Tribolium castaneum: one gene and its partner. The main gene of each other region encodes a partner of the protein of the gene in region 2 in a complex. Links are inferred from orthologs where the notes say so. Each region holds a gene or a part of one and is shown on either strand. Other genes may lie near its edges.

The links. Proteins that work in one complex are often made in the same cells at the same time.
Region 1: RING-type E3 ubiquitin-protein ligase PPIL2 (region 2) and cysteine-rich PDZ-binding protein share a complex: the UniProt entries of both Homo sapiens proteins name them as parts of the minor spliceosome. The link is inferred for Tribolium castaneum from reciprocal best matches to the Homo sapiens genes PPIL2 and CRIPT.

The regions. Positions count from the first base shown.
Region 1 is NC_087394.1:8,405,613-8,408,144, forward strand, and holds cysteine-rich PDZ-binding protein, read left to right. Parts: upstream 1-1,283; 5' UTR 1,284-1,400; coding exon 1,401-1,573; intron 1,574-1,631; coding exon 1,632-1,761; 3' UTR 1,762-1,937; downstream 1,938-2,532. Other genes in the region: Noc1 (CCAAT/enhancer-binding protein zeta), read left to right, coding at 635-763, 811-1,178. UniProt on the Homo sapiens protein: As a component of the minor spliceosome, involved in the splicing of U12-type introns in pre-mRNAs. Involved in the cytoskeletal anchoring of DLG4 in excitatory synapses.
Region 2 is NC_087395.1:15,994,760-15,999,017, reverse strand, and holds the start of RING-type E3 ubiquitin-protein ligase PPIL2, read right to left. Parts: upstream 2,839-4,258; 5' UTR 2,724-2,838; coding exon 2,692-2,723; intron 2,638-2,691; coding exon 1,680-2,637; intron 1,640-1,679; coding exon 1,488-1,639; intron 323-1,487; coding exon 133-322; intron 85-132; coding exon 1-84. Other genes in the region: Ubc2 (ubiquitin-conjugating enzyme E2-24 kDa), read left to right, coding at 3,564-4,026. UniProt on the Homo sapiens protein: Has a ubiquitin-protein ligase activity acting as an E3 ubiquitin protein ligase or as an ubiquitin-ubiquitin ligase promoting elongation of ubiquitin chains on substrates.

The DNA.
Region 1 (2,532 bases), on a different chromosome or scaffold from region 2:
AACTTACCTTTAAATTTTAATTTTAAATTTTTTTTTAGTTTTTTTTTTTGAAAACACGAATGTTCGGTAACTCAAAATATACTTTTTCAAATTATTGTGTATGTTATATCAAGTAGGTTGAGGAAGTCTAAATATTTAATTTAATTTAATGACCGGAACAACATTATTAATAACAAAAATCTTTTTTTCTATATTAATTACTTTGTTAATTTTAATGAATTCTTTTTCTACCTCAGAAGCTTGAGTACACGTATTTATTGGAAAGAATAATTATAGAACAGATTAAGATTCATAATTAATATAAAAAAGTATATTTTGCTGACAACTGCTAATTTGTAGAAAAGAATTGTAGAAAAATTTTGAAAAGAATTACATAGATAAAAAAAATTAAATATTTATTAGCAAACGCTGGAAACCAGACAGAAATGCCTAAGTTTGTTGTAGATTAAGTTTACAAAAATAATAATAATCTGAGTGATCAATGATTTTAAATCTAAGTTGGCCACAATAACTATCAAATCTAAACGTTAATTTTTGTACTCGATTTTTAAATTTCACCTACAATTTATAGTACCAATAATAAAAATAAGTGTTGCCAACTTAATTTCAAAATGTATTTTGCTCTGTTTTCCAGAACGGACAGATGATGATGATAGTGATGACGATGATAGCGAGATGGAGGATGCTTCTGACGAAGAATTGTCAATGGACGAAGATGAAGATTTCGATGAAGATGACCTTGAAATGAACGATGATGACAAAAGTATATTTTTTGTAATAATAAAACACAAAATTATCCTTTGCTTGCAGTGCTTCTGGGTGACTTAGACGACGATGAAGACGAGGAAGTTGTTTTTGACGATGAAGAACCGAAGTCAGCAAAATCAAAGAAGAAAAAATCCAAAGACACAAACTCAATATTTGCATCAGCTGAAGAATTTGCCTCATTGCTTGACGATGAAGGTAGTTCGAAAATAGCCCCAGGAAGTTCAAATGCGTTATCAAATAAGGATAATGCGAGCACTAAACAACTTGCCTGGGAACAGAGTAGAAATAGGTGGTTGAAGGGATTTGATGAAGTAGTTGGCAAAAAGAAAAATAGTAAAGGTAGCAATTTTGGCAAGAAAAGGAAAGGTCCAAATAAATTTAATAATAAGGCAAAGAAGAGGAAGAATTAATAATCGACAAGGAAGCAGTCGATTGCATTTTAATTAATATAATTCTTTACGAATCCACCAGTTTTGTGTTTTATTTAATTCGTGTTGGTTGTATTTCGCGAATATACAACTACACATAACCCATAACCTAACTTTTCGTGACGTTTAACAGTACGTTCTGTTTATTATCTTCGTGTTTACAATTTCGTACCAAATTCACAATAATTATCGTGTTTTGTGAAAATGGTGTGCGAAAAATGCCAAAAGAAGTTGGGCAAAGTGATAACACCAGATCCTTGGAAAAGTGGGGCTAGAAATACAACTGAGTCAGGGGGTAGGAAAGTTAACGAAAACAAGGCTTTAACAGCTAGCAAAAACAGATTTAATCCATACACGTCCAGTTTTGAGACTTGCAGGTTTGTTAATGCAAGTAATCCTTAAAATTGATTTACTCTTCTCATGTTTTTATTGTAGAATATGTAGGCAAAAGGTGCACCAGGTTGGGTCACATTATTGCCAGTCCTGTGCTTATAAAAAAGGAATTTGTGCGATGTGTGGTAAGAAATTGTTGAGTACGAAGAATTACAAACAATCGTCAACTTGAACTACATTTTGTGTGTTACTTTTAAACAAAATTAAGCCTATTCTAAGTTTTAGAGCAATTTGCATTGTTTTGTAGGTACTGTTAGGTTTTCTGTCTGTATACAGTGAGTGTACGACAATTTAATTATCTTGAATGATAAGGTGTGTAATTATATTTAATAACTTATGACAAAAGTTTTTTATTTCATTTTTATGATAACATTTTTAACTTATTAATTCATTTCTACCTATTCTATCCCTATTTCTTTTTTGTTATTAAGGTTGACTATACATTATTAAAACGCAACTATCAAATATTCTAGAATTATTATTTGGACTTTTTTATAAACTAAAAAACTGTACCTGTAATATTATTTCCACAAAGTTAAAATACGATTTTGTCTTATTGCACTAAAAAAATAATTGAAAAAATTGATGTCTGTCGTATTATTAAATACTTCTAAAAGTGGCTACACTGTATATAACCTTTTAGAAATGAATTTCAGCGATTGGATTTTAAAAATTCACTTCCCTGTATATAAAAAAAACGTGACGAAGTCGTAACAAAATTCAATGAATCAGACAAACCTCTTTGTTTTCCACCTTGCAGTAATTACTTATCTCAGTGATTATATTTTTTGTTGGTGACGTTTTATCCATACACTTACACAATACTGCCGTTTAATTTTATTCAGTTTGGTTCTTGCTTTTGACGCAAACGGACGTAAAATTAAAATTTTCCAGTTCAAAATTTCAAATTTGTTGTGGGTAGTGATCGCGGTTAGTGTGTGGT
Region 2 (4,258 bases):
GGTTTTTTGAGCTTCCGCTTTACGTCTCTTCGCCTCTTCTTCCTCCTTCTGTCTTTTCAATTCCTCTTCGCGTTCTTTCGCCAACTAAAAATTGACCAAAAATAACACATTACAACAGAATAAGACAATCACTTGTTCGTCCGCCTCTTCAAATGGATTCACAAAAACTTGCGCCCTTATAAGCACAATATCCTCAATGGGCTTATCCTTATTGTCCACTTCAATTTTTTCCATTTCGTTTAAAGTCTCCATGCCACCAACTAAACGACCAAAAATCGTGTGCTTATTATTCAAGTGCTTGCACGACCTGTATGTTATGAAACTAAAAAAAAAAACAATTAAATTTTTGATTATTGCTCAGTGGCTGAGTTTGAAATTAAGTTGGCAAAACTGGACGTTGGCATTTCCCGTTATATCATGAAAAATACTTCAGTTTGTGTATTCATTAAATCATTAAAAGTTTGGAAAAAGTATGGGGAAAATTTACTCATTTTTTTTGTAAAAAATAAAGTTATGGCTACGGATATAAACAAGTTAGGATATGAAACGACATACAAATAAAACGTTCCTGTATTCGATAGTTCCGTTAATGTCGCCAGAGAGCGCAGATGTTCCATTACCGTCTAAATTTTCAGTGCAATGAATTTGAAAAAATGGTTGTGTTTGCATAACGGTTAACACATGACAAACAAAAAAATACAGGCAGATAGAGCATTAAATTCGCAATAGTAGGACATAAACGTAATGCAAAAATTTTATCTTAAACTATATTAAAATAAAAACTTTTACCAACTTGCACTCTGACTCATATTTTTGACAACTCTGCAAATACGGTTACAGATGCAAGAAAAATGTTAGAAAGATAATTGTAGACAATTAAATTTCCTACAAAAAAGTCCGCGGGACTATATCCCTATCTTCAACCATTTAGGCCCCAAAATCGCCCAAAGACGCTCAAGCGACGAATTTGCTTCATTTTGCCAGTGGTCAAGTATTGAAAAGTTAGTTTATAACCAAACCGTTTAAAATAGAAATATGGTGTCGTGGACTTTTTTGTAAAAAATTTAATTCTCTACAATTTTGTTCCTTACACTTTTTTTGTATCTTCAACCGTATTTGCAGCGTCTTGAAAAATACGAGACAAAGCGCAGATTTAAAAAAAAATCACAAACATTTTAGTCGTCAGTTTTTCTCAGACTTAAGGGTGCAAAGCTCAACATTGGTTGAATTTAAATTAATTTAAAACGATTTGGCGCCGAGACAGTATAACGCTCAAAGCGCCCTCATTTTTAGTCCACCGTACTATTTTTTAGGTTCAGAAAATCCTGCGATTTCATCTCCTAACTTATAGTCCTCCCTAGTTATGACATAAATGAGTTTTTTTGTCACTTTGACATTTCAAACGACAATTGACTATTAAAGTTAACATTTGACTGTTGCCATTGTTGCCAACTTAACTTCAAAGTCAAAGGCTGCGTAAAACATACAACTGTGACCCATTTGTGTTTTTCCCACTGTTGGCCATAGACAAGACCCCTCGCCCCACATGTTGCAAATTGGGCCTGAATTCATCAACGAATTTCTTCCCCCAAATGGATTCGCCCCCAGTCCCTGTCCCCGTCGGGTCGCCCCCTTGAACCTACATTTCGTTAGTTTTAGCCCCCATGATGGGTCCCTACCATAAAATTCCGAATAGATCTGTGAAATTTCGTCCCGTTGTAATAGCCACTCGCACAATGCCTGATAAAATTCTCCGAAGCACGTGGCACTTCGTCGCAGTAAATCTCCAAGTTGAGGGGCCCCAAGTTCGTGATTAACCTCACATAGCCTTTTTTCTTGACTCTGTCGTATCGCACCTCATCTTCGTGCTTCACTGCGGCTTCGTGCACCAATCGGGGGACCATCGCTGTTGAGGTGAAACTCGCAGCCACAGCCCCCGTTGAATAATGGGCAGCGTTGAACTTGTCCGCCTTTTCCTTAACTTCGACTTTGTTTATTTCAATTGTTGGCTCTTTGTAGTCCCGTTTTAGCTCCTCAAGGGTGTATTTTGTTTCAGGGTTCACGTTTTTCAAGTGGCCTTGAGGGTCGTTCTTCTCCTTGATTTCCTCCTCGGTTTCGATTCGTAAATTGTTTTTGACGTGGTGGAAGTTGGAAATGTTGAACTTATTTAAGTCTAGTGGGTCCTGTAACATGATGATATCCTTGCGTTCGAAGGGCGTATCACTGATTAAGTCCTTCCAGTTTTTGTTCTTAATATTAAGCTGTTCCACTGCTTCCATCAAGTACACGTTTCCAGTGGTGGCAATCGCCACAATGTGGGAGCTTTTGGTGAATTGTTTGTAAAGGACGGGGCACTCAAACTCGCCTTCTTCATTTTTGTGGAAATTCAACTGCACCAACGACTTGAAATCCAGAGGCTTTCCCGTGACTGGGTTTATCTTGAACTTCTTCAAAAAGGGGAGCAAAGGCTCCAAATCAAAAATATTGCCGTCCAAGTCACAGTAGGGTATTTCCCACGGTTGCAACGACAGGCAGCAGTGGTCAAACGGGAGCCGCTTAAAATAGTCCTCCTCCGCGGTCGTATAACCCGATTTTTTGCCCCCGTAAAGAGTGGTCCACTCTGTGTACGTCAAGTACCTTAAACAAAATTGCGTTAATTACGCACTTGAAACTGATTTTGGACAGGTCTACATTTTGTCTTTCTGGTGCTGGCGCTTCCCCATTTTGCTGTAACTTGTAAAGAGGTAAAATTAAAAAATATAAATCACACGACTTTGAGGTTAGCTCGCTGTCACAACAACAGGTAGACAACACGCGCACTCTTCATGCCCCTAGATGGGTGCAAAGGATTTTGAATTTTTTAAAAAATAATCCGCAATTTTTTGGTAATTTTCGGCGAGGTGTTGGCGACCGACGCCCTGGGGGTGTGGCACAGGGCGGTTTTGTTGCAAATAATCGAAATTCAGGTTTTTGGGCTGTGCAGTTTTTGCATATTTCCGGTAGTATGGTGGCAGGCCTGAGTGCTCAGCGAGTACGCCATGAGCCGATATTAGCAAAAAGGGAGTGAATTGTTTTCAGTTTTTAGTGCAAAAATTAATACAAGTAAGTGTAATTGCTGCTGAAATTTCCCGTTCAATGCCAGTTTCACGTTCCTGAAACTCGATTAGGGCCGTTTATGCGCGTATTAGCCGAGTAGGCGCTGAAAAAAATCGTCAACTTGTGCCGTAAATATCGCCCAATAAAAGCGATATCGTATCGAAATTACAGTAATTTCGGGTTCGGCGTTGTGTTTTAATCGATAATTATTGAATTCCGTCCCGTTTTTCCCAATTTAATGGAAATTTACGGCTTGTGTAATGCTTGAAATCAAAATGGCCGACTTAGCTGACAGGAATCAATTTTGGTTTTGAGAAGGGTCGCAATAATCGGTTACCTGTCCCGGCGATCGCAATCAGACATTGAACCCCATTGTTGCTTGAGGTGACTCTCTCGCACGGTCGCCCGTCAGCCCCCGGCGAGCGCCGGGAGGAACAAAGAGGTGATTTTTTGTTTTGTTTAGCTCGATGTCTTCAGCTGGGTCTAGCGGATCAGGCCGTGGTCGAGGCGGTCAAGCAGCAGTCGGTGATCAAAAGGAAACAAAAGAATCAAAGCCTAACCAGAAAATGTCAAAGGCCTTGGGCACATCAGCGAAAAGAATCCAAAAAGAACTAGCAGAAATCACGTTAGACCCGCCGCCGAACTGCAGTGCGGGCCCCAAAGGGGAGAACTTCTACGAGTGGGTGTCCACGATCCTGGGCCCCCCGGGGTCCGTCTACGAGGGCGGCGTCTTCTTCCTGGACATCCACTTCTCGCCAGAGTACCCCTTCAAGCCACCTAAAGTCACGTTCAGGACGAGGATCTACCACTGCAATATCAACAGTCAGGGCGTCATCTGTTTGGATATTTTGAAAGACAACTGGTCGCCCGCCCTCACCATCTCCAAGGTCCTCTTATCTATCTGCTCCCTACTCACCGACTGCAACCCAGGTGGGTCAATTTCTCTTAATCGTAATCGCAACAAGTAAAACAATGAATCGCATTTATTTTTAAAATTCTTGTTGGATTAAAAACGTGCCAAATAGTTCGTAGACCCGCAGCGAGCAGACAAATATTAGACCGGCGTAGTCACCGGCATGTTTTGAATATTTTTAAAGGCACGCGATGAATGTAAATTATGCTAATTTCCTGTGAAAGATTTTGATGAAAGTTGGAGAAATTT